2 linked regions of the Nothobranchius furzeri genome follow. The protein of the gene in region 1 purifies or fractionates together with the protein of each later gene. This does not show direct contact. Links are inferred from orthologs where the notes say so. Each region holds a gene or a part of one and is shown on either strand. Other genes may lie near its edges. The genes, in order: orc3 and lrwd1.

Region 1 (14,583 bases):
TAAAAATGTTTTTTCTCGACATCTGACTTGATTAGATTGTTACTAATTAATATCATGATCCTTGTCATATGTTTACGGTTGATTGATCAGGTTTGTAGACCCTGTCCCATGATACCTAATTATTCAAGAGATTACTGGAAAAGGAAGAAAGCTTTAATGCTTAATGACCTCCTGTAATTAGTTTTAAAAAAAAGCTCTGCATTCTTAATGTGAAGATTTCCCTCAGGGCTACAAGTTCATACACTGTTCCCACTATTGTCTGGGATGCATCTGATCTGGAGTCAGATTCTCTGAAATTACAAAAATCTCCTTTATTTTATGTTTAATGATACCTTAATATGCTTAAATCACCATTTAAATAAGGAAAATGCTTTATCCGCATGAAAAAATGTCTTATTTCTTCTGTAGATGTGTTGTGTGAGTGTAATGCTAACTAACACCCCATTCCTCTGAGCATCCCTGCAGCCACTCAGCAGCCATGAAGCTGGCTGCACACCGGATCGCAGGCACAACGATGAGCACACTAACAACAGGTGTCCAGTATCTCGGCTCCAACGATGCCAGCTACGACGACCCCTCCGCTGACTCCAGCCTGGTTAAGAATAGATTCCACTTTGAGAAACCGTACTCTGCCTCCATCAGCAGCTCCGTTCCTGAACTCATCCCAGGGAATAAGGAGGTCATTTTCACAGCGCTTTCTCCCATTTTTCCCACCAACGTGTCAGACTTTGTCCTGGATAACGCCACCTCCGTGGAGAACAGTGGAGCTGCACAGTGCACTGAGGACTTTGTGGACAACTTGGAGTGCTTTATGATCCTCACTCCCGGTCAACAGCTCGCCATCGTCATCTTAGCGCTCACCCTGGGAACTTTTACGGTGCTGGAAAACCTCATGGTGCTGTGTGTGATCCTTCACGCTCAGACTCTTCGATCCAGGCCCTCCTATCACTTCATAGGCAGCCTGGCTGTGGCCGATCTGATAGGAAGCATCATTTTTGTTTACAGTTTCTTGGATTTTCATGTCCTCCACAGGAAGGACACGCCAAATGTTTTCCTCTTCAAGCTGGCAGGAGTCATCGCCTCCTTCACGGCCTCTGTGGGCAGCTTGTTTCTCACCGCCATTGATCGCTACATCTCCATCCACAGGCCCATGGCGTACAAGCGCATCGTTACAAAGACTAAGGCGGTAATCGCTTTCAGTTTGATGTGGTCCATCTCCATCGTCATCTCGCTGCTGCCGCTGCTCGGCTGGAACTGCAAGCGTCTGGGCTCGGTCTGCTCCGACATCTTCCCTCTGATCGACCAGAAGTACCTGATGTTCTGGATTGGAATTACAAGCATCCTGCTGCTGTTCATCATCTACGCCTACATGTTCATCCTCTGGAAGTCTCACCATCACGCCGTCCGCATGCTGAGCCGCAGCTCTCAGAGGAGCATGATTGTCTACACGGCAGAGGGGGCAAAGGTGCAGACGGTGAGGCCTGAGCAGGCCAGGATGGACCTCCGTCTGGCTAAGACCCTGGTCCTGATCCTGGTGGCTCTCATCATCTGTTGGGGCCCGCTCCTAGCCATCATGGTGTACGACCTCTTTGGGAAAGTGAACGACTTCATCAAGACCGTGTTCGCCTTTTGCAGCATGCTGTGCCTGCTCAACTCCACTGTGAACCCGATCATTTACGCCATGAGGAGCAAGGACCTTAGGAGGGCTTTCATCAACATCTGTCACATGTGGCGAGGAGGGACGCAGACTCTGGACTACAGCACTGAGAGCGACTGGAACAGCAGGAGTGTGAGGGCGGCAGCAGGTGGGGTGGGGAAAGATGGAAGTGTTTGTAGAAAGACCCAAGTAAAAGTGGCCCAGGTCACCATATCTGGAGGTACAGATACTTTCACGGCAGAGCCTGTCTGAAAAACATAGTGCTGCAAAAGTGTGAAGAACTGGAAATTTAGTTGAGTTTGTTAACAGAAGAGTTTTGTTACTGTGAAATGTGCCAAAATAACTTAGGTGCAGTGTGGAACTGCAGGGATTTAATGAGAACTTATTGTTAAAACTTGAGATAAACAGGATGAGTTTTGATTGTATTGTGGATTGTCTGATCTTATTCAGTACTTTTTTCCCTCCACCAACCTATCCTCATGTAATTCCTTCTCATCTATTAAGGTAGCGCGACTCGTGTTGCGAATGACCACAGTCACCAATTCTTGTCATGTGTCTTGCCCATGTATGTCTGATCTCTGAATTGTGTGTACTGAAACTCAATTTCATTTCTCTGTATGTCTTGCACATGTGGTAGAAATGACAATAAAATGACTTTGACTTGACTTTTGATAAAATGCATATTTCTAAAACATTTTGCTCAGTAATTATTTTCTTTTTTTTTCTGGGACAACTTTCAAAAATGTAATCTTTTTTATTTGAAAATGCAGGTTTTTTTTTTCCTTTTAACAAACACAAAAAATAGCCTTTTGTGATTATTTTGTAACATAATATGAGCAATCTTGTGCCGGTGATTTAAGACAAACCCATGCACCATATTCAGTGTGAGAAAATATGCTTGTAAATAAAAGAAGCTTGTCGCTAGTGGTGAATTGTACAGTGTCATTATCAAATGTAAAGACCATAGAATTGTAAAATTTGGCCACAACTATTTTGTATGGATATCGTCTTATTTATTTATTTATTTTATTATATTTGAACTAATTCTCTTTATCTAATAATTTTTAAGTGTGATATTTTATAATTCTGCATGGTTTTGCTTTTTAAATTTGCTTTTATTACATGTAATACAGCCATATTTTGTGAAATGTGCCATTTTGTCACTTTACTGACATGTGCTTAGTAAACATGTCAATCTATTTTTGTCAAACTGTCTGGTAATTTTTCCACAATAAAATAAATAAGCCCCCACTTTTAATCCTCTGCTTTGTTTTATTAATAATATAAATGACATGCATATAAATATTATTTTTATGGTTTTTATTTTTATGTATGTGCATAACACCTGTTAACCTACTTATTAACCTAATAAAATCACTGTGAGCAGTTCAGCCTTAGAGGACTGGTAATGTATATTACCGGTAATATGATGAATTGGTTACATTGCAACCACATCCCAACAACTAAATGCAATCCAAATAATGCAACCACACTGGAACGTACACAAACAGCATTTCAGCTAAACCTCTGCTGTGCAATCTTGCAGGACTTTATTTTCATATTTTTAACAACGCAAATAATCTTTATTAAGAAACTCATAGTGATTGCATTTAAATTAACTGAGAAAAAAGTTTTGTAAATTCAACTTTTTTCCTATTTGGGGTGTGTCAAAGCGCCCTCTTGTGGATTAACTCATTTAGGCAGAAAGAAAAGATGAACAAATACTCTACGTCAGCAGAGTAATAACTTTTAAATTCAAAAGTTTAATATCAAAAGCATAAATTTAGCTTAATTGAGGCCGTATTTCGTCCCGTGTCCAAGATCATTTTGTCGCCTCTCGTTTTTCACTACATAACCCATAACCCCTAGCGTCCCTGTTTGGCGCGTCACGTGACAACCCAAAGAAGCCGACAGTGTCGAATCAACAAACAGGCTGCTTAGCAGCGTTAGCTATAGTCCTTATCTGTTGGCTCTTGTTGGCCCGCAGCTGGCTGCTCGTCCCTTTAACTTTTTGGGAAAACAATTTTAACAACACCAAGAGTTGGTTAACGCTGTCGGATAGATTTGCTTTGCAACAAGAGGTAAGACGTTTAAGTTTATTCAAAAAGACATGTAGACACCCTCGTTTAGCGACATCCAAAGCTAGCATTACCGTTGTTTTCTTTTTTATCGGTTTGCTAACGATAGCTTCTTTTAGGAAAGCAGAACAGCGCAGTGTTTAAAAGGCATTTATCGGATAATATAAACAAATCCTACTTTAAACTGAGAACATACATTAGTTATGGTTCGTTGTTGTCTAATTACTGCTTTATTGCCAGTATTTTAAACCACCTTCCACAAGTTGAAGTTATGGCGTGTGGAGCCACCCTAAAACGGACCATGGATTTCGATCCGCTCATGAGTCCTGCTTCACCTAAAAGACGAAGATGTGTCCCCGTGCCCCCTTCGTCTTCCTCCCCGAGGAAGTACCTCAGCATGGAGCCCTCACCGTTTGGACAGTCGTCGTCCAGACTTAGCGCAGGTAAAGCCACTGCTGTCCGCCAACTGGCCTATTAACACATGTTGATCCACACATCTAAAAATCACCAAACACCGGTTTAAACGGGTTACCTAAACACCCGATGGGCCCCATTTCTGTTTCTGACCCACTAGAACAAATCCTCAACAGCATCAAACAAGAGTACAAACGCATTCATAAGAGGAAGCATCCAGATGGAGGCATCCAACAATCAGAGTGCTGCTATTCTCCAGAGTCCCCTTCCCAAGCGTCTACCATGAATGTTTCCAGCATGCCAGGTTGGTGAGAGTGGAAATCCAGTCAGTAAAAAAAACTCATGAAATGGCTTTGACATTAACTCAAACACCTTGTTCTATATTCAAACTAATGTTGTTGTTGTTTTTTTTTTTCAGGGACATCCTCGGGAGGCGTTTCTCCAACCAGAAAAGAACAACCTCTGTTCACTCTGAGACAAGTTGGGATGATTTGTGAGCGCCTGCTGAAAGAAAGGGAAGAGAAGGTGCGAGAGGAGTATGAGGAGACCATGACTTCAAAGTTGGCAGGTTGGTGCAGAAGCAGTTCAGATCAATGTTGTGTAGAGGGATGTAATAAATAATAATTTTACAGTGAACTAATCACAAAACTATCCAAGGTCTCAGTAAAGTTAAGGAAGGTTCAATTGAAACAGCTAGCTGGGGGTTTGAGTTTTTCTCCTTTCAAAATGGCCAGAGAGGGACTTGGTCTTTGTTTACAGTCTGTCCTGCCTCCATACTTCCTGGTTCCAGAGCCAGTCGTACGTGAGCCCTCAAATTTTCCAAGTCTTCGCTGCAGTGCCGGCATCTTTTATTCAACAGCAGCCCCCCAAAAAGCAGCAGCGGTGTGGAAAGATCTTAAGCCAGTAACAGGAGCGACTGTAAAGTTATTTCTCGCGACCTCTAAAAAGCCACGCAATCATTTTGTTTTACTCTATCGGGTAAAGTAAACTAGAGGCTAACTTTGAGCTAACAGTGAAATAGAAAACAAATTGTCTGCTCTAAGAATATCTCAAGCTACTTTGCCAGTTACTAACCACTAGACATTACAGTAAAATGTAAATATCTACTCAACTTACTGTTCGTGACTCATCTTCGCTCGTCATCTAGGATCTTTGGGTGCTGATCTGTAAATGGACACTAAACGATTTTTTCACTTTTTTGAGCCAATTTTCTCCTCGTGTGAGAATATCCGAGATCGGGGTGAGTTTTGCGCTGAACGTGACCAGCTATGGATCAGCAATCATAAGCTCGCAGGAACTTCTGGCGTTTGCTAGTTTGCTCATCCCTCGTGAGGGTATTGCTCTGTTGAAGCGGCGCTTCAAGCGGCTGCAACCCAAAAAGTACCAGAACCGCTCACGGCGCATGCACTAACATGCGTCAGCACGGCTCGCCCTATATACACGCCTTGTTCGTTTTTATTTATACGCTTTTTTTTGCACACAATTACGATAGTCAAGAAAGCATGTTTGCTGCTTAAACTGATAAAACGTTAATCTACTTTTCCATTCGTCTTCCTCCTCCAACCCCCTTAAACCCGTGTCCTCCTGCAGCACTCCCGAAGGACAACAGACATCAATAACAACACAAAAACAAGTCCAACGTGTCGTGTAAAAACGGCTGTTTTTAGATCCAGTGTGTTGCTACCAGACGTGCGGTGTGAGCAGTCAGGTCGCCTCCGAGAACCGGGTCGTACGGTGTGAAAACATGACTCATAATATTTGCGCTGCGAGGAAGTCGCAGAGTTTGAGCAGGATGTCCCGAAGGTCCGCCCACCTGTTCACCGCTCGGACGTCCTGATCTTCTACCTTCCTAGATCATCCAGCTGTGACCTGTTTCTGATCATTTTAGTCCCGCTGTAACACTGATGCATCAGTCTCAAGGTGTTACCAGAACTACCTGTGTGTGTGTTTACCACCCAGCTTCAGCTCTTCTGTGTTTGGGTCTGACCCAAGTTAGTAAATTTAATCAGATTTGTGTCTCTTCTAGTGTCATTTTAAAGGATTTTTATTTATTTATTTAACCATTACTAGATCAGCAACAGAAATGCTACTAAAACACACAGTTATGTGAAGCTGGACAAATTAGAATGCTGTGCAAAATTACATTTATTTCAGTAATTTAACTAGACTGAGAGACCATTTAAAGGCTCAGGAACCTTTACATGTGTTTCTATTTGCAATAGTAAATTTTAGTTGATTCGGGTCTTGTTAAATATCACACAGTGACATTTTAAAAGTCTAGATAAGTGTAATGTTCCCGTTAGTAGTTCCTCCTGTTAAGTGTTCATTTATTTCAATGATTCAGTTTTTTGAAAAAAAAACTTGGACATATGTTTTACTGTGTTCCAGTCATTTATATTTCACTATTATAATTTATAGTCAATTAAGTTTAATTAAGAAGGGACCCCATTTTTCTTGCTTTAATAATAAAAAAGGAACAAAATATTTTTCTTGGTAATTAGTTACATTTATAATCTTGTAACTCTGTAACTGACTTACTTTTTTGACAAAGTAATCCGTAACTATAATTACTTTTTAATAGCAACGCTCCCAGCACTGGTGTTTGATCAAAATGTCCAGAGTGTCAGTTAAACTGAGGTTACTGTTGTTTTGCAGGAATAAATCACAAACTTGCTGAAACCATCAGATGGAGCATGTTCTGTAACACATTTTAGTTCACCAGACATGCTTTTAAATTCCCCAACCTCTCCTTTTTAACGTGTTGCATCTGAGTGACGGCAGCGTTAACCGATTCCTTTCTGAAATTCCAGAACAATACGACACCTTTGTGAAATTTACACACGATCAGTTAATGCGACGATTCGGAGAGCAGCCGGCGAGCTGTGAGTTCCTCTTTTTTTCTTTCCACATTCCTGCTCCACTGGCCTGGATTCAGCTAACGGGTCTGGTTTGTGTATTTCATCTCTCTTCTCCAGATGTTTCCTGAGTGTGGCACCGACGCTTTGCAGGAAGCGAGCTCGTCATGATGCTTCTTAAGAGTTCCTCGTTGGGAGAGATTTGATTTTAGCTAGTTTAAATGAAACTTTTTACCGTGCCATACGTCTGTTGGGCAAAACAAGGTTTGAATGAAGCTGTTGTTGGCAGTGTGTTGTAAGCAGCCGTGTCCTTCCTGATGTAAATGAGCGGCCCCCGTCTCCACCAGTGGCCTCTGTCCCTCCAGCTATCTTACTTTTGTAATGACTCCCAGCATTCCAGACTTGTTGCATGTAAATATGAGGAAATCTCTAACATTTTATAGGATTTGCTGGTCAATCTGAAAGGGAGTGCAAGAACTTTAGTGATTTTCTTTTTTTTAATAGGCATAAAGTGAGGGCTAATTTTTTTTTAATTAGATTTCCACCCCTTACTGATATCTCTTAAGAAAATCAGGGACATTTGATTTTTATTTACAGAAAAACTGTGCGTTTGAGTCCAACTTAGCACAAAAACCACAGATTTATGTTTTTTTTCCCCCCTTGAAGATTAGATCAACAGCCTCCCCACGTGAGTCGAGCCACATGGTCGGTCTTCTGCTTCGTGGACTTGATGAAGCCCAGAAACTCCAGCTCAGCCACGGCGCGGATGAAACGAGCGCTGAAAGGAAAAGTTGAGGAAAAACAAATTTTAAATCTTTTTGTCTGATTTCCATGAAATCAGTCTGATCACATCTGCTGTCAAGGACTGTTACATTTTCTAGGGGCAAAAAGTAAAATGACATAATTGCTTCGTGTGCGTGTGTGTGTGTAACCCTTCAACATGTGAAACAAGTGAATTCCCTGAAGTGTCACTATGTTTCCCTTCTTGTTTGAATAAAAACTTCAGCTGCTCAACTGTTAGTTTTGTTTTTCTAACTGAAAATTTTCAGATTTAGTAGAGAAACTGAAATCAGAAAGGATGCTGTTTGACTTCGTCCACTTTCCCGAAGCCGTCGGAGTCTGGATCGGTCCCCTCGGCAGCAGAAATCACGGTGGAATACGCCTGAAAACAAAAACAGTCGAACAAAACCTCTCCGACAGAAAATCGGCTCATCTCTGGAGCTAAACGCTCGTCTCACTCACCTCCAGCCAATCGTAGAGGTTGATCAGTCGGCCGCACTCCAGGTGGAGCTTGTATGCGATGCAGATATCCGGAGCAGAGTTGGACACTGTGCCGTCGTCGGACTTTAAGCTCTCATTCTGAAAATAAAGCCACCGTCAACATCTGACCGTCGTCCACAGGAGCAATCTGTTGTTTTATGAAGACGAACCTGAAGGTAGTGGTAGGGGCTGCTGAGTGCAGCCTGAATGGAGGTGCGAGGTGCAGCATTGAGGTGGCGTCTGACAGCAGCTGAAGAACTGTAGTAGCAGACTTCATACAGCGGCTGAGACTCTGGGGGGGATAGGTGACTCCTGATTGGCACAAATACACATTAAATTAGCTATTCTGTTACTTTAATCAACTCTTGTGGATCTAAGTTTTATTTTTCATTTCTTACTTCACTAAAGTGTCGATAAAGTCCAGAGCTTCGTTACGTAGAGCCTCAAACGGACTCTTTTTCCTGGATCTGCGAGACTCCAGCAGCGTCTGCAAGTAGATCAAATGTCCAAACGGCTTTAAAAAAGTATTTCGTCAAAGAACAGAAAAAAATGTCTGATGGACGTACCTTCTGCAGCTGGAATAGATCTGTTTTCTTTGGAAGGTTTTTTACTGGAGAGGTGAAGTTTTCCTCTGAAGCGGTACTCTGATCAGTAGCAGGTGCTGTGTGAACAACAAAAGATTATGATCATAAATTAAAAAAAAACTTAAAAATCCTGCTTTGAACTACCATCCAGCTGCTGGAATTTGGACAGTAGTTCCTCCAGTTGGACGCAAGCACTCTTCATCTGAGTTGACCTGATGGGCTGCAGGATTTCTGCACATTTCTGCAGCAAAGAGATCAGCTCGTCTTTCGCCAGCATCCTGAAGAAAAAAGTACAAAAATACTGACCACCAGGGGGAGGAACACCTCTAAAAATCCCACAACTTTGTCGCCACCTAGTGGCAAATCTAACTGGCTGCAACTGAATGGAGAGATGGCATTGCGTTTACATCAAAATAGCTAAATAGAAATGCCTCAAAAAATAAAAAAATTACAAGTTTTATGTTGAGCTCAGCTTACTTTAAAAGATTCACAGCTGACTGGTACTCCTCCGCCTCCCACACGTTCTTCTCCAGGCAAATCAAGTGCAGCTCCCTGATCTGCAGCAGTAAGAAAAAGGAGACTCCAAAAATCAAAGAACGAAGTGAGACCAAAGCAAAAAGATGGTTTAAATGAAAGTTTAAAACTGTTTTCTTGCCTGTTTTCCGAGAGGGTATCGAGGCAACGATGAGGTCAGAGTGTGGAGACACCTCAAAATGGGATAATAGCACTTGTGGTATTTGTGAAGATCCTTCATCAGTTTTTGACAAACGTTCTAAAATCACAAAAAGGATAAAATCCTGTGCACAAAAAAAAAGTCGTCTAAAAACTGAAATCTTTAACAAACCTTTAAATGAGAGTCATCCGTCCTGAGCTTTTCCTGCTCTTCTATTTCTTGCTTTTCCACAAACCTAAAAACGAATTTTAACACAAAGAGCTTTTTTTTTTTTCATTCAGTTATAGAAAATGATCATCTCAGCTGGTTTTGTTCACCTCCTGAACGACGGGAGCTGCCTGACCCTCTCCAGGTCATCATGGCGAAGGTGTTTCAGGTTCAGCAGAGCCTTCTCCTTCCTACAGCACAGCACGCTGAGGGGCTGCGAGTAAAAGTGCTCCAGCAGGGCCAGCTGCACCCAGGACGGGAAGATAGTCGGGAGAAAATCAGTCCCTTACATTTACATACCTTACTCGTTTAGACCCCGATCCTCACCTGCAGGCCCTTAATGAAGTTTTTGACTGAGAAGTCGTGGTAGAGGAAGATGCCCACCAGCACCTGCATCACTTTCCCGTTGAGTTTGAAGGGAAAAGAATGTGTCAGGATCAACTGGAAAGAAGGGATGGACTTTTATCAGATTCAAAATCTTCGATCAGCATGCACAGATGTCACGGTGAAGGCACCTTTTCTATGACGGTGGTGAGATGCTGAGAGCAGGACAGGGACTGGAAGAGCTCTATGCACAGCAGCGAGGACACAGAGTGAGGCAGCATGTGCTGGATGGTGCTGGGCGCCGTGGCGATCCCGAAGATAAACATCAGGGGAAGACGCTGAACGTAACGGCTGTGGATCAATCATCAGACGCAGTTTTAACCTTCCAACGTAAACCGTGAGAGCTTCTCACGTGTCTGCTCTAAAGTCACCTGCAGACAAGGATGAAGTCCTGAAGAACTCTCGGATTAAAAGCTTCCAAATCTTTGAAGACGATCACCACCGGAGGCTCCTGCTGCTCGTTAACGACCAAAGAACTGCGCTTTTTTCCGGGAGTTCCACTGCTGGATTTCTTAAACCCAAGAAAACGTTTGTTTTCACCTCGCCGAATTAAAAACCTGCATGAGCGGACCTGCGTCGTGTCCTCACCTTTGTTTTCTTACTATACCAATCGCAGAGAGTCGTCAAGGAGCAGTGAACACTCCTGTGGTGCTGCTCCGTTTCCTCCTCCACCTCATCATCATCATCATCACCTACAGCTACAACCGTGTCCATCAATCTCTCCAGAACCTTCTTCATCAAATGCTTAAGAGCTGAAATAATAAAACCAAAAAGTCTACTCCTGAATATTGTGACATTTACAGTAAAATCCTGACGCGTTTGTATATTTTGAAGCTTTTCCCATCACCTCCACACTCTTTGGCTTGCACAGACGCCACATGGGGGGTGACAGACGTCTGGAGCAGCTCAGACAGACTCTGGAAGGTCATGTCATGATCTGTGACGTTCACGCCTGCAGTGAGAGATGAAAGTCAAATGCAGCTTGCGGGATTTTTGTAATAATGCAAGTTAGCAGCTTGAAAAAACAAAACAATAACTACTGGGTACCAAGGATGAGAGCGGCTGTGGGAATTTCACTTGCTCTCATCTGTGAGGTCCAGTCACTGTGATGGCGGATGGAGGAGCATTTTTTGGTGAACTCCAACAAACTGTCCAGAACTTTTCTGTTGAGCTCATCCTGTAAAATCTTATTTAAAAAAAAAAGATTATGCTGATCTGCACATTCTCTGTATTTTTTTGATATTATAATTTGTTCTTACTTCTGTCTCAGTTTTGATTTGGTCCCACAGATCCTGGCAGAGCTCGAATCTCAACTCACTGCTCCGTGCATCTTCACAGCCATCAGTGAAATAGCTCTCTGTGTAAAAATACAGACACGTTTATATCGCAACAAACAGATCCAACTAACAACTCTTCTCTGTCTAATGTAACATAGCTCACCCAAATCAAGGGTCTTTTTCTTCTTTTTAGCGCTGGGCTTGAAAACAAAGCAGCCCTAAAGGGACACAGCAAAACACAGTCGAGTCTGACGCAAATATCGCGAGGTCTCCATTTTTGTTAATAGAAACGTCGTTGAACGACAACAAGCTATAAGAAGTTACCTTTGAAACAGAAGAGGTGGCCATCTTTCTTCAAACTCTTTGTAGTAGTTTCTTTTTTAAAAAAACGCTACTTTTCATGAAACGTAGCCGCGACTTCCCGCCAGAGTGACGTTTACGGAAAAGGTTGGAAGTGTTAGAATGTATGGCAAGCCGCTATAGCATATAATTAGATGTAGCCGCTATAGCATATAATTAGATGCCGCCATAGAATATAATAGACAACAAAATGTAACCGTGATCACACACATATATTTTATTTTGTGTGTTTATATTTAAATATCACAAAGCTGTCTAAAAATTGAATGACTCAAATATTAAACACATTTTCTGTGTATTATAAAATGCATGTAATCCACAATGTGTATTAGTCTTGTTTACCACATCTTTTAGTTTTAGATTAAAAGTAATTTGGCTTTATTTGAATTTAAATAAAAATAAAAATGGAGCTTGTTATAAATTCAGAACAGCTTCATAAACTACTTATGAATAAAGTAAACATATTGACAATACATTATGAATGTGATTCTGCAGATTATAATAAAGTATAATTTAAATCTTTTAAACTGGCTCTAGCTTCGTCCAATTTGTGAATGCTGCATTTTATCCCTTTCCCAGAATCTTAATCCTTCCGTGTACAGCACTTTGATCATGCCGTTTTTAAATGTGCTATAAATTAAAATGGTTTATGAGATCATCTTTGAAAGTTTATTTAATTCAAGAAGTTACAATTTCATGAATAACTGGGTTTAAGCAGCTGTGTTGTTGTATTTGTAGATCAAATTGATGACATTTTTAAAAAGACAAGATTTCACTCGTGCTTTTATAAAAAAGAACCAGTAACATTTTATTGAACACTTTGTGGAAGACATGTAAATATTACAGATAGGTCTACTAGTGTTGAAAAGGGATGAAATAAATACAAACAGGACTCGAAATCCCATAGGGATATTTATAAAAACATAGTTTTCTTTAAAAGGTGTCCATTTAGTAAAAGAAAAAAAACATATTCAGTACTAAGCATAAATACAAACATGGTTCTAAAATCTATGCCCTATAGCTTACCTGGTTATTATAACTAACATACATAGTTAAAATCATCAGAGACATATTTTTTCAATTAGGTACAAAATAGGCCATTTCATTGTTAACTGTGACCATGACTGTTAACAGTTGGAAATCTGATGCATTAAGAAACAAATCATTCTGCAGCATAACGTCTCAAATCCTGAGTAAGACAGGGTAGGAAACAAAAAGACAACAACAAAATGAGCTATGATTCACTAAAAATCCTCTTTTTTATAATAACCGTGGGTCTCATATGTTGTAGCTGCTTAAGTAAAAGTTCAGCACCATCTGAAAATGTTTTATCCATAACAATTTTTACATTACTCACAGAATTTAGCTTTACAGGGTTTCTGAAGTCTATAAGATTCTCACAACCTCTAATGTCGTTCGTCATTTGACTTTTACTTCCAGATTTCAGTTTGGGAGTCTGTTGTCTTTTGTGCGGCACCTCAGAATTGGGTTTCTCATTTATTTTACGTTTAGAAGAAACTGTTGTCTCTGAGGTTTCCAAGAACTTGAGGAAGGAGTCCTCGAGTCCTAAAGGCTTGAAACATCCCGGTGAAGCCCCATCTTCTCGTTGCTCTTGGGTCGAAGGGGTACCGGGATTTGAGTTCTCTCCGGAACTGTTAACAGTCAAGCGGTTTCTAAGGGTCTGCATCCTTTCTGGACATGCTGGTGTAGGCTGTGAAGGTTTTCTAGGACGCCCCCTTTTAGGTCCGACTCCTGTGCCATTGGAAGCTTGAGATTCTGCGCTATCATCGTTGGACAGCTTGGCGTCCTCCTTCTCTTCGACTTTCTCTTCGACTTTTTCTTGTTCCACCACCAAAGTCTCCTCCGTTTTCCCCTCAATAGGCTTCACGCTTTCCTCAAGCTCCGTCTCTTCAGAAGAAGAACTTTCTGCTCCTTCTAATTTGTTTGCATCTTTGAATCTGGAGCGTGAATACTTTTTGCAGAAAATGAACTGACTTCTCTGATCTTCTATGTATCTTTCTGTGAGGCCATGAGTTGTGTAATGCTTGAATATGTTTCTTTCAGCCCGCTCTACTGCGTCGCAGCCGATGATCATGCACGGATACTGCAGGGGGGACTTCTTGGTGCACATGGCTGATGCCTCTTCGTGGGTTTTTAGTGTAGGCTTGCCAAAACTAGTCCAGTGTTCAATGGATTTCCCGTCTTTCTTTTTAGTGTTTTTCTTTTTCATTTTGAATTTATTGTCTACATTCTCCTTCCCGTTATTAATCCCTGGAAAGAGCCCGATTGATTTAGTTCGTCTTCCGTCGCTCGCTTTGGGATCATAAATATAATCATGCTTTTTGATCAGGTGGCGAAGGAGGTTTGATTTTGTAGTGTACACACGGTCACATCCATCATACTGGCACCGGAAGGTTGGATCAACTGATCCTCTGTCAGACACAGCAATCTCTTTGTGGAAATTCTTAATGTGCTCAATGTACTTCTCCACGGAGTTGAAAGGGAGAGCACATTCTGGGCGGTCACAGTTAAACGTTCCTAGGGTCATACTGGCCATCATGGCAGTGGCTTTGTCGCAGGTGAACTTGTGAAGTAAGAGGTAATGCTGCACTAACCTTGTGATACCCATGAACACCCTGGAACAATTTCTTACCTGACACCTGACCTCGTCATCTTTTCCTATGCACTCAATGCTCTCCTGTCTATCAACAACAGCGACCTTTTCTGTCTCGGATTCGATTTTGCTTGAGGGCAGCGATGCCTGATGCATGGCTCTATAATGGAGAATCAAGTTTTGCTGGATGGTGAAAGCTGCAGTGCATCCTTCATGAACA
Region 2 (15,989 bases), on another chromosome or scaffold:
CTTACGAGGCATTCATTCCTACTAGAGAGACCACTGCAAATGTATTGATTAAATGAGTGCTCCACATTTTTAAGTGTGAACAGGAATTTATAAGTTAGATCGGTGAGATTTGTGGCTCAAACTGTTGTGTTAAACAATCAGGAGTGTTTAGTCTGCTTTTGGTTCATATGTTGTGCAGCAAAAATGGCTTCATGCCATGCTAAAGGGAACAGAACATTTTGTCTAGTGAAAGCTGCCAGGAGTAATTAATCCACTTAGTCTTTGACTTCCCTTCATTTATGTTGATTCACACCAGAAGAGCGATGCATCCGATACTAAACCACTGTTGTGACGCTTGAGTGACTTTATTTACTCTGCTGATCTTTGTGTTTCAGCTCTGATGCAGCAAATCAACGGTCTGATTGGTCTTTTAATGCAGATGCCTTTGTCAAAGTCACAGATTTCAATGTCGGGTAAACTTCTGAGCTTGGGACTGAACCGTTCTGTTCTTTTACTTTAGTGACACTAAGCCCTCCCTAGTGGGAACAGGAGCATTGATGGTGGACTTAAGGGTTGTGAGAGATAATTAACTAACTCCCACTCTCAGCTGTTGTGGGAAAAATACAATCTACATTCTTCACAGAGCAGCTGTGAAAGGTACTTATCAGCTTCAGCTCCAATCGGCAGTGATTAAAACACCAAACAAGCCAGAAAACACACACCGCAACAAAATGAATCTCAGCCAGCAGGTCGATTAAAGCAAACGTACTTGACAACACCAAGCTGGAAGGACCCATGTTCTCTGTCCTGGAGCATCTGCTGCAGGGTTTGGTTCTATGTAGAATCACGTAAGCTGCATGATCGTTTGTTTTTGTGTTCTTACCACTTGCAGGATGGTGGGATTACAGCCAATGATGAAGGGCAAACTCCGAAAGCCCTTGATGCGGTGGGCGATCCGCACAGGCAGCTCTTTGTGAAGGTACTTGGCACTGCTCTGAGATCAGATACAGAAATAATAGTGAGCGAGGACTAGTGCGATGCAGCATGCTCTGTGTGGACGAAGTGTTTACCAGGATGTGGTGTCCATCAGGAGACTTCCCAGAATACAGGAGGGTTGCTAAGGTTAGTCGAACTGAAGCCTTGGGCGAGAAAGACATAACTGAAATAAACAATTTAATTTAAAAAAAAGGTTTTTGATCTACATGTTTTTCTTAAACCGTAATTTATCTTGAAGCAACACTTTGATCTATTGCTTTCAAACTGGTTTCTGTGATTCGTAAGCCAGAAACCTGAACATCTTGACACTGGACAGCACTCTGCAGACCAGGAAAACTAATGTGGCGTCTCTACCAACTTTACAGCAATAGACTTTACTGTGATGGCAGCTAATATGAAGGCAAGCAGTTAGCTTTTTCAGTTCAACAACAGTCACTATAACGTGCAAGAAGAAGCAACATAATGTAGCTATTTTTGTTAGCATCATGGAGGAGCCTGGAAGTAAAAGTTAGAGAGTAATGCCTTTGGAGGAGAAGCAAAGAGCTAAAACCAAACTGAACATCAGAGACGCCTACACTGACGGCTGAAGGAGGCTACGAAGCCACGGACTGACCTGGCTATGTTGTTACTAGACTTGTCCAACAGTGTGGATCATTTTACTTTGTAGCTTATAAAATATCCGTAGGCTCATGTTAGCACTAGCTACAGCAGGCTAAGACAGAACGTTTCTGACCATTGTAATTTTGCTTTGAACCAGTGGGGGGAGCGGGAAACTTATTAAACAAAGACTAGGTAGTTTTGGCTTGCTTTTACACCCCCTAGTGTCCGTTTAGTAGAATCAAAAGCAAAACTCATCTCCTTGCTGTGTGTTTGTATTTAACACCTTAATCTATCAGCAGAAAGGTCTCCCCAGCATTCATTGGTGTCTACAGGAGCGATTCATCACTAAATTAAACAAATCAGCTCTGTTCACGAACTAAAACATGCAGGAAACGTGCTGGAAGCAGACTGCAGCACCAGGTATGTCAGCTCAATTTTTTTCTAATTCCAACTGACCGGATTGACACTCTGAAGTTGCAAATGCGGTATTCTGGCCTCAGAGGGCGTTTGGGGTTTGAGTGACATTTCATTAACCCTGTAAAGAGTTGTTTTCGCACATTCTGGCTCAAGAAAGTGATTTTAAAAATATGAAAACATTGCAAAGTATCCCTTTGTGTTGACAAAGCTGACAAAGTATGTTACTATCTACCTAACGAATTGTTGATTACCTTATTACATAATTATCTTATCAATTTAGTAAATAAAGTTCAGATTTAGAAAAACCAAATGATAAGAGATGGGAAATGATGGGAATTATACTAAATATGAATGTCCTGGAGCTGCAGTTGGATAAAATTACATACTTTGGAAAACAAAGGGAATGTTATGAAACTCAAACTGTGTTCAGTGTGGATGTAAAAGAATACCTGGAAAAAGTACACATTTGCTATTCTCACAACAGTTCAGTGTGTGTAAACATAACACTGAATACAATCAGATTTTACAAGTGTACTCCTTTTATGAGCATGCTGATTGTAACTTGGATAAATAGGAAAACAAGATTGGACCGGTTAGACCACATCTGCAGGTGACCGAGAACACCCAAGTCAAACATTTTTAAGATTGTTTACCTTAATATAAAGTTGTAAAAGAGAACAAATGTGTGTGACTATGTAAAACTTAAAAGTACAAGTGGAGGATAAAAAAGTTGACACAGTTCTTTCAGCTCCACAAGAGCACCAACCTAAATATGGTCCCTTTGTCTCTTCTATTACCTTGTGAACTCAACCATAACAGGTAATGGAAAACTGTCCCGGTGCACTAATGTCTTGCAACAAAGTTGCACAGCCATGCAAAATGCACACAATATTCACACATCTCCCTATATAGCATAAAGATTTATGTGTTTTTATAAAGTTAATATTGCGGAAGAAGTGTGTTAGTTGTGCAACTTAAAACAACACGAGTCTACTAATTCCCTCCTCTTTTGCTGCAGTGAAGAGCTTCTTTGGAAATTCTGGATGACTAACTGGATGACGAAAACTGCTAACAACAGACATCTGGGAAACACGTGACCATAAAAAAACTTTACAAAGGTTTCTACCAGGAACAAAAACACCTGGCTTTGCCAGTGAGAGAAGCTCTACCTGTTGTTTGTACTGTTTATCAATAACGATAGTAATGATTAGTGCTTCGCAGAAGGTTCGTATTAAGTTGTTTTCACGAGTAAACACTTTTACTCTGATTACATCTTTGCACGGACAGCCGTTTTCATGCATTTTCTACGGATGTGTGCTTGAGCTCGTTTTCAGGATGTTCGCTACACAAGATGTTCTTTACGACGCTGCGTTCAAAGTGACGTAAAAGAGCACAGCCGCTCCGTGACTACTTCACAAATTACAGACACACATATTAAGTAATAAGTATATTTAACGTATAATGAATTTAAATTGTGTAAAGTAAGCAAAAAACGCTCTAGAGTTTTAATGTAATTTTATTTTCATTTTGAAAACGGAAAAATGGGAGATAATTAAAAATATTTAAATGATCCGAATTTCGGTGTTTCTGGAGACAAAAATCTTTTAGTTGAGAGACTATGACGAGGTTCATTTTCTCACTTGGTCCGTGACATGTGAACTTGATTTCATTGGTTTACATGTTATTTATTCAAAGTAGCCTGAAAAAAATTCGGTTTTACTGCTATTTCTTCTTATCCTTGAACGCAACACTAACCGTGCTAACGGCTAGCTTCTTTGCTATCAAGCGGCGGCTAGCTCAGTCCCTCCTCGCCACAGATGCACGTTCGCCTTTCAGGAGGAGAAAAATGACATAAAAACCCAGTTCTTACCTTCTCTGCAGAAACATCGATTGCAGACTGGTTATAAAAGGAAGTGACAGTCTTCGACCGCTCTCTTGCCAGCTCTGAAAATCCCTGCGCCGAGGATGTCGAGCGAAACCTCTGACTACCGGCGCCCGACATCGGTGGTGATGTTTTGGTAGCGGGGACCAGTAAGAGGCTACTGAGCCTCGGCCTGGCTAAGCTGCTAACACCGCTCAGCATCTCGGCCGCTTTACCCACAAGTCCCGGACGCATTTGGGGGCTAGCCGTGAGCGCGAACAGAGCTGGCCAGTTCTCCAGGATACTAAATGGCTATGAGGCCATTAGGGTCTTGTCCTGTTGCACAAAGGCATGAATCTGAATACAGTAGCGAGGGGGACAGAAAGGCCTTGGTGCGCATTGGCCAGTGGGAGAGAGCCAAGGAGACGACATGATTGCTGAGCCAATCGGTCAGCCGGTTAGGGGCGGGGCTATGTTACAACCACGCCCCCACGGCACAGACTACTGTACTCGTGAGGAATGAGCGCTCATAAGCCTTTAATAGACTGGTAGGAGTAATGTACAAAAATTAAGAAAATATGAACAGATACATCTTTATATGGTACAAATATTGTATATTAGTGTTACTGTATAATACAGTTCCCAAAGGTTAATGTTGCAATCTATAGGGAACTTGCAGTAATTGTTCCCCAAAGATTCCATGAAAGTCAAATTGAAAGCTGGAGGTCTTTATTCCTGGAACCCACAGAAAACGTTCAGTGCAACCTTTAGGGAACATTCCCTAGAGGTTTGTTCAGAATGTAACTTTTAGGGAACATTCATTGAAACTATTGTTTGTTGTGTTAAATAATTAAAGACAATTTTTTCAATTAAAGTTTTCCATGTAATTTTTTACAAGAATTGTTTTATTTTCTGTATTCTCTCCCAGATAATCTTACTTTATTCACAAAACCTGGAACAAAATTAGCAACATTTTGGACTAAAAAATACAGTTACAATAAAAAACAAGACTAAAAAATACAGTTACAATAAAAAACAAAACAAAAACAAAACAAGTAAAATCTTAACACTCAGCTCATTCAGCACTCTAAAAGACCCATTAACCAGTAACAAACTTCACATTACTTTGATTTTGTTTAACTTTAACCATCTTTCAGACAGTGGGAGTAACAGAATTACATGGGGGTTAATGTGTTAGCTGTCTGTTATGCATCCTGCAGACATGGAGGACATCAGTTAAAGCAGCATCAGCTGAATGACTTTTCAGAAGACAAGTGAATGATTTTTCTCATCTTTGGAAATTTTTTTTAAGTGTGTGTAGTGTTGTAATAACTTTCTTTTAAATTTGAATCATTTTCAAACAATGAATATTATTTCCACAGACAAAAAAAGATATTATAAAACAGAAAAAGAATAAAATAAGTCAATCTAAGTTTCAAGTAAATTTCCACAAAAAGATAAAATAGAATTTTAAAAAATTGTCATCAATAAGTCGACGATGCTGTTTGGTGGAGAAAATAAATTTCTTCAAAATATATTTAAAAATGTGTCTGCTCCTTCAGAGGATTATTAGATGTTGGGTGTGTCGTCCATAATGTGAAATAAAAATTCACATTTTCAGCTAGTAATCTGACTACCGTAGAAAATACCAACATGTGGTACTTCCAGCTCATTTCAGACAGAACAAACATTACAGTTCTGAGTTCACGTCCTCTCTCCTCCACACGATCACCATATTTTTATCAGTGAGGGCCACCAGGTAGCGAAGCTCTGGGTCCATAGCTACACTGTTGATGGAGGGGCCCTCTGTCAGGCCCAGGCCCTTCCTCGTCGGGGACGGCCACTCCAACACCTGACAGAAACACCAAGGACCAAGCTTCAGTGGATTACGTCATTTAAAAACAGACAACACCTCAACAGGTGTGTACAAAGTAGTCTGTGTCAATTTTATTTACGTTTTCTCAACCTAAAGCCTAACCTATACATTTACATTCTTAACTTTGTAGCTCGTGGTAACATTTTAGCACCATAATTACAGTTAGGCCTGGTGCTACCTCCTCTACCTTCTTATGGGTGTGTTAGTTAAACATGGGTGCACACACAGCCCAGACAACAGCATGAAACTGAAACAGAGATGATGATTTGTTTGATTTCTGTTTGGCTGATCTGGAGGTTTGTTTACATCCTGGTTGTTTACTGCCCCCCTCCCCTAATCTGGCTGCCTTTCAGTAAACGGTGTTCTCACATGTCTACTATTAACTTAACGGTTTCACGTTACTGTGAGCAGCAAGTACAGTTGTGCAACCAAGCAAATGCCTTTTCTTTTTTTCTTCACAACAGTTTTAGAGGCATAACATTTTTTATTTTTAAGAAGAAAACCCAATTGTTTTGTCGAAGTAAACACCTGAGTGGGAGGAATGGGTTTTCCAATCTGAAAGCTGTTTTTCGGGAGACTGGTGACGTGATATGTCCATATTCGGCCTTTGTCATCGCCACATGCTATGTAGGCCCGCCCTAAAAGGAAAACACACACCAGGACAAAGCACCCAACATGATTAAACATCTGGATCCAAACAGAGTCAGAAGAATAACTGTGGTGGTTTAGGGACAACTCTCTTTAAAAATAAACATTTGTGAAGAGGGAGGCTGATTTCTGCTGGCCAAAATCCCCAAATTAAAACAACTGGAGGATCACAAACATTTACTTTCAATAAAAACACACAAAAATATTTTAATATGATTCGTTTGATTTACTTATGCAACTTTACAATAAGTATGCAATTGTTTTCTCGTTTCTTGGTCTTGAAAACAAATGTAATCAATACGTTTGCAGCGGTCTCTGGTAAGCCGTACTCGGGCCCAGAGACGCTTGGATCAGCACGGACAAGACCGCTGCAGCAGAGAGCGGCACAACACGGCAGGATTTGGAATCTTACTTCCTGGTTTTGGACACCTCGCCTCAGATTGGACAACAGCAACTTTACCACTGACTTGCAACGCTGATGTTTTATCTGCACAAATAACGCAAACCTGGAGGAGTTCTTCTGTGTGGTGGTGTTGTTAGCGCTAACGGTTAGCTTCTACGATTTGATATGTTGTCTGCTGATTCCCGGACATTAAAACAACCACAGCCTTCCCGTATGAGTTAAAATGGCTGAGCCCGTGAATATTAAGTGACAGTGTGACGTAGATCCGTCAGGCTTTTCAAATCCTAGAGTTTCACCTTCCATTGTCTAGCAGAGATTAATGTAGGAGATAGGTGTAGGAGACTATTTTCATGTTCAGCCTGCATGAAATACTCACAGTGGCCAGTTATAATCAGAAATAACCAGTAAAATGTTTTTCAGAGTTCCACACCTTTAAATTAACCTACAAAGCAAGAATTGTGCTATGACAGTCTGCACTGCACCAACGAGTGGATGATATGGCACTTACCAGGGCAGGTGTTGAGAGCCAGGTAGGGGATATTCGTACTGGCCCACTGCAGCTCAGCCAGAACCACCGCACACACCGATCTGCTCTCCTTGTTGGGCCGCTGAGACCTGGTCCTGCTCCAGCTCCACAGATAGATGGAACAGTGCATGTGGCTCTTAGAGGCTTTGGTTTAAAACAGACAAAGGTAGTCAACATTAAAAACACAAAAAACGTGCAGTTACATCCTTACTTGGTTTGCTTCGCATGACATAAACAAACCAATGTTAGAGACGATGAGTAGAAAAGCTTTGAACGGGTCTCAATGATACTTCAGCAGCAGTCAGGAGGAACAGGCACTGGAATAAATTTGTTGCCGTTGTCATTTTCTCATTTCTGGAGCAGACCCTAACCCTGCATCTGTGAGAGAAGCAGGGTGTGTTCTCTCCACGCCCTGCTGTTGCACATGTCCTGTAGAGGAGAGAAGGTAAGGATTCCTCTCCTGCATAGTGCAGTTTCTATGCCACGCAGTGATGGAGCTGGTGGGTCGCTCTCCGCCGTGCCTCTGCGGAGGTTAAATACGAAGTTCACTCTTGTTTTAAACACATCTGCAGGGGTTTCGTTGGCTTTTAATTCAGTCTAACTTATTCTCTTTCTCCTTTTCTTTTCGAGTTGGATTACTCGATTTGAATGGTTTTAGTTTTTATTTTTGATTGTTTTTATTGTGTTTTTGTTCAGCTTATGGTCGGCCCTCATGCCGTGTTTAAATGTGCTGTACAAATAAACTTGGTATGGTTTCTAGTAGAAATGAATGCCTTGTGAGTCGATCTCTTTACGGCTCCTGTTTCTAGAACTACAAGTGAGCCAGAGCAGTTGGGAGCAGCAGACAACTTGGAGTCTTACTTCCTGTTATTTGGACATCTTGTCTCTGATTGGATAACAGCAACGCAACCCTACCACTGACTGTTTGCTGTGCAACATTGATGTTTTATCTCCACAAATAACACAAGCTTGAAGGAGTTCTGCCATGTGGTGGAGTTGCTAATGCTAACGGTTAGCTTCTACTAGCTACAACGCGCTCTGCTCTCTCCTAGATGCTAAATTAACAACAGCCTTCCCCGTCACAAGCCAAGATGGGTGAGTCCATGAATGTTAATTTTCACTGTGACATAGCGCTGTAGCCTTTAGAATTCGTGTTCAGCCTGCATGTTAAACTCAGAGTGACCAGTCGTATTTACTAAATAACAATAAAAGCCGTTTCTCTGAGAGCTTGCTTTGTAATAAGGAGTTTTGGTTGCCAAATTTCTAAAGATTTCATATAAAGACAGCGTGAGATCCTCGCTGATGCGTGTTGAGAGGAATTTTATTGTCTTGACTCCCGAAATGTCTCATCCAATCAGTAATCCTCTCGGTATTATCTGTGTCTGGGGAAAGATTATTTTCCTGCCACCTCTGTCGTATTTCAACCCCACCCTCCACATGGTGAATAGCCCGGTGAGTGTGATCAGCACATGCTTGTGCTGTTCCACTGTCGTGGATAAAAAGGGTGTGGAGCAGCAGGCTCAGCACTCGTGCCTGAGCTCTCTGTGTGAGACAGCACCCATCTGCAGAGCGGTGATCAGACTGAGGGAGACGAGCTTGATTCCATCACGGTGGGACATCTGCATCATTATGCATTTAAGCACTCCCAAATAACTGAAACGGACCGGGCGTCCTAAGAACAGATACTGCTGAAGACAATGGCTTGATCACATCTTCTGGGGTTTTCTATGTTATTCACTCGTTTAGGAGTACAGTTGTGGAAGAGATTACCCAAATGTACATGAACTGAAATTAGATTTTTGCACTATTTAACATCTCTTTCCTCCAGTTGCCAGGAAGTGGCTGATGGAAAAAAAAAAAACGATAAATGAAAAGAAATAAATGAGGAAATACAGAAAAGGGAGAAATGAACATTTCCATCGGTCTTTGAATGGACCAGTTTAATAATACCTACTGGAGGAAGGGAGGAGGCCATGCTGGGCCGTCAACATGGGAACACAATACAATTTGAAATTGTGAGAAATCCGGTATTTTGATGAAAAATTACGTTTTTGTTTCAAAGACCAAGTTCACTCATTTTCTGTGGAATTGCGGTGGTCTCTGGTATAAACGAATGGCTTGTGAGTCGACTTCTGGGGGAAAAAAAAGCTCTAGCGCTCCTGTTTCAGGAACTAGAAGTTAGCAAGATCAGGGGAACGCAGCATGAGTTGGAGTCTTATTTCCTGATATGCAGACATCATGCATCTAATTGGATAACAGCAACAAGACGCTTCCGCTGCCTCTGTTCGCTTGTTGATGCTTCATCTCCACAAATAACACAAGCCTGAAGGAGTTCTGCTGTGTGGTGGAGTTGCTAATGCTAACAGTTAGCTTCTACTGGCCGAGATGTGATCTCTCTGCAGAATGCTAAATCAAAACCAGCCTATCCCGTCACAAGTCAAGATGGGTGAGTCCATGAATGCTAATGTCCAGTATGACACAGATCTGACCGGCTTTTCTAGTCTGAGCGTTTCCCCGTCTACTTTCTATTCTCAAGAAATAATAAAGCAGGAGGTAGGGGAGGAGACCGTTTTCACATTCAGCCTGCATGTGAAGGGACTGATCTTGTTTCATTTCAATTCAATTCAGTTTATTTATATAGCGCCGAATGGCAAGTAAAAAGGTTTTCTTAGTGAACTTGGTCTTTAATGTCTATGAATTCCCCGCATAAAGGGTTCGGCCCATCTCACCAGCCAAAATCTGCACCATCAACTGTCAATCAATCAATCATATTCAATCATATTATAAATAAAGCTTTGATTGATTGAGTGATTGATCAACTGGGCTGGCTGCAAAAACAAAAAAATTCTAATTGATGATCTAGAAATCTATGATTTGGGTTTGGAAAGCACACGGGACATCACTGCTCCTCCTGGACGCTTGGGAATGTCATGTCTTCAGAAGGATCTACCAAATCATTCACGATGTTCATTTCTGTGACCCTTCTTCCCCTGGCTGTGTCAAAAGGACTGCATTAAACCCGGTAAAGAGGAAGTTAAAAAGTGAACTCGGACTCTAGAAGCGCGAGGTGTTTTTGCTCTAAGCCACAGGACACCGAGCCATCTTGTTTATATTTAAAGCCAACGTGAGACAAATAAATAAACAACCAGATCAATCGCAGGTCAGTTTTACAGATTGTTGTGTGATACTCACTATAAAAGCTACATTCTACCTGGATTACAGCGCCACCATGTGACCATTTACTAGAACTGCTTCTGATTCAGTCTAGGCTCTGGCTCCGACTCGGTCCACGAACTGAACGACGGCAACAGAACATGGAACATAATAGAGGAACCTCACGCACCTATTATGTCATCAGTAAGAAAGCTCAGGCCGTCGATAGTGTGGTAGTCATGTTCTTTATCCTCCTCCTCGTAAATGGGAAACGTAATCTCCATTTCATTTGACCTGCTGAGCAAAAACAAAAGGCTACTGAATAATCCAAGTGTCGCTTTAAAGATCCTCATCATCACTTTGCCCTTTTGCACTTATTCATCCACTGAATGCTTTTACCTCTTTGTGGAGCTGCTGGTACCCAGTTGTGTGTTGAAGCAGTGCAGGCCGTCGTCTGAGGCGGTCAGCAGGTGTGAGCCGGGGGAAGTCGGGGGCAGGCAGATGTGCAGGGGAGTGGCGCTGACCTCCAACACCAGCAGCTGACTGGTGGGGAGGAATGAGAGACGGTAAGGAAGCAGAAAACATGACTGACTCAAATCTGGCCTGGTTTTCCACCGCTAACGTCGGGTAGAGATCCAAACTGCAGATTCCACAAGTTAGAATAAAAGAAACTCACACAACTTTGAAGTTGTAACTGCTGTCCACTCCTCCGATATCCCACATGATTATCTTGTTGTCATAAGATCCGGCTGCAAGAGGTCGCACACAGACGTTAATCAGGAGCGTCGTTTAAAAACTAAACGGGAAAAATCCCAGACCTTTGTTTGGTTTTCATCAGGTCAGGTGAGGTGACATACAGATCAGCAGGTAACAGAATCATCACACAAGCTGGTGAGAGACGCCCGTTCCTGAGTCTGACCCGACTAAAACTCACTGAAGAAGAAGTTTCCCTGATTGTGGTTGAAGCGGAGGACAGAGAGCGCCTTTCTGCTGGCTCTGAACTCGCCGTAGGCCACGTTGTTCCTGGGATGGATCAGTTTGACGAGTCCTCTCTTCCCACCGGCAGCGAGGATGCTGCAGGGCTGAACTGGAGCCTTTCCTCCTCGGGACATCAACACAATGGACCAGGCCAAGGAAAAGAACTCCTGTGACAAGGAACAGCAGACCAATTCAGCACCAACGGCCACACAGCAGCAGCTTTTAACTGCTAAACCTGAACAGTCGCTCTGCTCTGTACGGATCAGAGAAGGGTTAGGGTCAACCCACACACCTCTCCTGGAACTTTGTACTTCTTCATCACCATTCCCGTTTCACAGTCGATCACACACAGAGAGTCTCCTCCACATGTAGCGACCAGGCGGCTTTCACTGCAACAGCCTGTCAAAGCAGGGTTTCACAGCTCGCTCAGAGCCTCACAAACAACTCTAGTAAAGCGTTAGCTATCCGCTTTCATACACAGCTGTTGCTGTAAACCACGGAGGACTTGTTCTGATAAATCTGAGTGGATCAGAGGGGTTCATCAGTACCAGAGGAGCCTGACAGAGGCTGGAAAGCGCAGGCCCACAGCTGCGTGGAGAAGTCCCCGGAGCTGTCCTGTTTACTGTGACACTGGAGCACGTGGAGAGGCTTCAGATGCACCGGCTGCTGGAGGATCACACACAAGAGACGGATGAGAACGAACACAAACCCCTGTGGGTTGTTGTCTGACAAGATTGTGTCTTGTACGGAATAAACGACGACACTGGAATGTTTTTGTGGTTCTACAGCATCTAAAGGAGTCATCTGTGTGTTTCTTTACCTGACTCTTAGTACAAATCTTTATTATAGGCAGAGTGTACTGACTCCTGTGCAGCTGTTTGGTTTTGCTGACTTCTTTTTTCTGTTCAACCCGAACTTCTTCCTCTTCGAGTTGCTGTGATTTAGACCTCTTCCTGGGCGTCTCTGTCCTCGCCTGTCCTCTGGTGGGAGTGGAGACAGCCCCGTCTGTCCGGAGAGAGACCCTGCGGGACTTGCGAGGGCTGTCTTCAGCAGCTGAAGATTCTAGAGCGTTGACTCTCAACTTCTTGTGAGGCGTCAAAATTACTTTATCATCTGTCACCAGTTTGGTTCGTTTCCTCTTGGAAGGCGAGGAAATTATCTGAGAAAAGGAAGATAGAGTAAAATGTTTGACCCAGTTTGAACAGAAACAGCAAGAAGTTTTATTTAGAGACGCCATTTGTGCCAATGACAGTATTGTAACAGTGAAGTTTAAATAAAAGGTGCTGATTAGCAATCTTACACAGTTCTTTGTGGCCTCAGCAGACTCCTTGGGGATGAAGTCTTCTTTTGGTTGTGTCAGTGAGCGCAGATGCTCTTTAGCAAGAATCTCCACCTGAAAAATCAAAAGGAAGTAAAAACAAAACTGTTAAAAAGGGATGAAAATTAGCAAAAAAGTCCCAGAGATCCTTGTAAATTCAGGACTTGCCCTCCATTTGGTGAAATCGCTGACTGAACTGGGACCAAATTTGACTTGATGACGAGCAGCGTTCACAAAGTTCTTCTCCAGATCGGACATTTTGCCGGCCGTGATGGGATCTGGGAGACTGAAGCTCCGCTCCCAAACTGTGACTATCTGAAATCAAGCAGCAGCTGAGTGACCCAAGTGTGGGATATGATGAGAAAGTGCAGCAGCTGGGTCGTTTCCTTTTAAAATGCAACATTAGAGGTGTGATGCAATCGAGAGCCACAGCTTAACTCAAAGTCTAATGAATAATCATCATGAATGTTTTCAAACGAAAGTATTAAACGGTTTTCATACCCTGGTCCTCAGGTTGTCACTGAACACGTATCGTAAGTGGCTGGCAGTGGTGCTGACATCTTTGTTGTTGTAAATCCTCAGTTTGGGCAGCAACACCATCAGCTTGTAACTATCACTTATCTAAAAATAACAGAGTCAGGACTTGATCTCAGTTGTAAAAGAGAATTTTAAAGTTTGAGACAAAAATAAAGGAATATCTAACAAAAAGGAAAAGCTGCAGCGCTGCAGAGAACAAAAAGACGTGCTAATAAAACATCTAGACTTGTTGAAGTAGTTATCTGATGACAGCGTTAGAGGAAAACTTCCTTTTGGTTTGTTTTTTTCACCTCATGTGGATATTGTCGCGGTAAAATAGTCATGGGTGGAAAAACTGCATCACATGTAACAACCAGACTCCAAAAGATGCCACGGTAACGTTTTACGATTCTGTAAAGTTCTGAGATGAATTCAAAGACAGAAATTATACTTAAACCACTCATTTAAATAAGACCAATCGAATAGTTTGAATTTTAAAAAGGCAGCTCCGTCCTTTATGTTATAACAGAGACGGAACGGTACTGGATTACATGCGACAAAAACAGCCAAGTCCTCACTGTGATGTAAAAGTTGTCATCCATTTTTAGTTCCTCCAAGCTGCTCAGAGACTCTAAGGTGGTGACATCCTCCATCTGGTTGTTGGTGAGGTCCAGGTACCGAAGTGCAGGTAGCTTCAGGTTCTTTGGAAGCTCCTGCAGCCTGTTCCCGGATAGATCCCACCGCTCCAGGGACTGCAGGCGGGATAGCAGCTTCACAGGAAGATCCCCGTGCTTCAGCGCCATCTTAGACAGACTAAATAGAAGAAACCCGTCAAGTCAACATGGGGATTTTAGATCAAGCTTCATATCTGCAAGTAAAACTAATTTTACTATTAAATGCGATTAGTCATCAACTGATAAAAGAGTGACTTCACCAGAACACACAAATAGTTAATCAAGGGGGAAGACTTACTTCAGAGTTTTGATTTGCTCCAGTTTGTTGGTTTTTGGAGAACCTTTCTCCAGTAAAAGCTTCTCTGTTACATTCTCCATAGCTGATCTGCTGGAAAAGGACATCTAATGTGGAATCTATCAGCAAAATAACATGTTAAACTTTTATTCGCACTCACTGATTAAGTTGTATGGCCTGATAAGTTTAAATAATGTCTGTACTTAAAACGAGCTAAATATTTAGCATTTTTTCATTTAGTAAAGAGACGATGCCATTGCCAAGTGACATCTTTACTGAGAAAAATTTAATATAACCAAATCAACTTCATGCTTCAGCAAGGTAAAACTGAATCTGTTAGTTTGATTTCGATTGGTTTTACTTTAGCAGTAGCTAGCATAACCACGTTGACACGATCGATTAATCAACTCTTTGCTAGGTTAGTAGTTAGTAATATAACTGACTCTTTTTCTAGCCATAACAAATGAGCAAACACCTTTAATAATGTTTAATAAAGTATTTTTTATGTTACTTACCAACTCCTCTCTGCAACTTTTGTGTCTGCAACACAACTGACCTTTCCCGGGGAAACTCCGTCTACATCCGGTGGGCGTGGTTTACCTAAAACTTTGGCCACAGTTTACCCTGAACATTGGCTGTAAGACAAGTCAAACAAATACGACTTTCGATTATTATATTTCTTGTTTATCACATATATTACTAAGTATTGTCATATTTTGTTTTATTTGAAATTTTAATGCGCCAATAACAGTGCGGCAGAACGAAAATAGGGGTTAAAAGAAGTAATTTTACGCCTGCGGCTCCGTCCGCTAGATGGCAGTGGAGCTACGATTTCCAAGTAGAAGAAGATGCAACATGATGATGATGGTCTCTGACGACGGCGACGGGGTTATTCCATGCGCTTGTAAAGGCATCCGACGCTGTCTTGTCTGTGAAACGTTTAAGGCGAGTGTACTGCTTGAAACAAGAGAGTCAAAGGTACGTGTGTCGAACAAAAATCTCAGTTTTAATGTGCGATGTAACGTCTGTAAACCTTGGTACGGAAGCCCTCACTGGACAAATTGTGTTGTTTATCAAAAATCACTCTTGTTTGTTCTGACAATATTCTGGTACAATGTTGTAAATTTGATTTAAATAATGAGATACAACCCTGGTTTATTTAAATGTTGACGGCATGTATCTTTACTTATTGTGAAATGAAATTTTATAATTAAAACATGTCATCACAGCTTTTGTTTATTAATGTTATCTCTGTTTTTGGTATGAAGATTGTGCATCATTTCCTCTATAATGCCAAGACGGGGCTCGCTGTCAGCGAAGATGAAGAGGGCTCTTCCTTCCCTTTTTCTGGAGTCTTCCTGTGGGAGAACTTTATATCAGAGGAGGAGGAGAGGGAGCTGATTAGCGTAATGGACCAGGATGTGTGGCATCCCTCACAGTCTGGCCGAAGGAAACAGGTGGAAAACATTTAATGAAAATGTACTTTTTTGTGGGTTACATATTTTTAACATTCAAATTTTTCATTTTACACGGTTGCAGGACTTTGGCCCTAAAGTAAACTTCAAGAAGAGAAAAGTGCGCATCGCAGACTTTACTGGACTTCCTGCTTTAAGCCAAAAACTGGTGCTGCGGATGCAGCAAGATGCAAATCTTGCGGGCTTTCAACCAGTGGAGCAGTGCAATCTGGATTACGCTCCGGAGAGAGGCTCAGCCATTGATCCGCACCTGGATGACTCCTGGTTGTGGGGG

What was found.
Region 2: the proteins of orc3 (region 1) and lrwd1 purify together in Homo sapiens (affinity purification with mass spectrometry; 4 studies listed by BioGRID and IntAct, with this or other methods). This does not show direct contact. The link is inferred for Nothobranchius furzeri from reciprocal best matches to the Homo sapiens genes ORC3 and LRWD1.

What each region holds. Positions count from the first base shown.
Region 1 is NC_091758.1:29,117,584-29,132,166, forward strand, and holds orc3 (origin recognition complex subunit 3), read right to left. Parts: upstream 11,834-14,583; 5' UTR 11,738-11,833; coding exon 11,714-11,737; intron 11,608-11,713; coding exon 11,553-11,607; intron 11,470-11,552; coding exon 11,372-11,469; intron 11,299-11,371; coding exon 11,160-11,298; intron 11,065-11,159; coding exon 10,960-11,064; intron 10,865-10,959; coding exon 10,701-10,864; intron 10,624-10,700; coding exon 10,484-10,623; intron 10,404-10,483; coding exon 10,244-10,403; intron 10,170-10,243; coding exon 10,056-10,169; intron 9,973-10,055; coding exon 9,839-9,972; intron 9,757-9,838; coding exon 9,693-9,756; intron 9,621-9,692; coding exon 9,504-9,620; intron 9,406-9,503; coding exon 9,326-9,405; intron 9,127-9,325; coding exon 8,993-9,126; intron 8,926-8,992; coding exon 8,831-8,925; intron 8,752-8,830; coding exon 8,663-8,751; intron 8,577-8,662; coding exon 8,435-8,576; intron 8,364-8,434; coding exon 8,247-8,363; intron 8,167-8,246; coding exon 8,087-8,166; intron 7,783-8,086; and 3 more. Other genes in the region: cannabinoid receptor type 1B, read left to right, coding at 479-1,909; akirin-2, read left to right, coding at 4,007-4,178, 4,310-4,453, 4,568-4,717, 6,960-7,031, 7,125-7,135; znf292a (zinc finger protein 292a), read right to left, coding at 12,984-14,583. UniProt on the Homo sapiens protein: Component of the origin recognition complex (ORC) that binds origins of replication. DNA-binding is ATP-dependent. The specific DNA sequences that define origins of replication have not been identified yet.
Region 2 is NC_091750.1:30,538,571-30,554,559, forward strand, and holds lrwd1 (leucine-rich repeat and WD repeat-containing protein 1), read right to left. Parts: upstream 14,828-15,989; 5' UTR 14,756-14,827; intron 14,360-14,755; 5' UTR 14,348-14,359; coding exon 14,244-14,347; intron 14,085-14,243; coding exon 13,850-14,084; intron 13,377-13,849; coding exon 13,257-13,376; intron 13,071-13,256; coding exon 12,924-13,070; intron 12,831-12,923; coding exon 12,738-12,830; intron 12,597-12,737; coding exon 12,258-12,596; intron 12,104-12,257; coding exon 11,986-12,103; intron 11,837-11,985; coding exon 11,730-11,836; intron 11,605-11,729; coding exon 11,394-11,604; intron 11,209-11,393; coding exon 11,136-11,208; intron 11,003-11,135; coding exon 10,859-11,002; intron 10,757-10,858; coding exon 10,650-10,756; intron 7,451-10,649; coding exon 7,289-7,450; intron 6,368-7,288; coding exon 6,258-6,367; intron 5,706-6,257; coding exon 5,544-5,705; 3' UTR 4,902-5,543; downstream 1-4,901. Other genes in the region: bckdk (branched-chain alpha-ketoacid dehydrogenase kinase), read right to left, coding at 863-973, 1,050-1,118, 3,863-4,108; alkbh4 (alpha-ketoglutarate-dependent dioxygenase alkB homolog 4), read left to right, coding at 15,054-15,218, 15,509-15,697, 15,780-15,989. UniProt on the Homo sapiens protein: Required for G1/S transition. Recruits and stabilizes the origin recognition complex (ORC) onto chromatin during G1 to establish pre-replication complex (preRC) and to heterochromatic sites in post-replicated cells.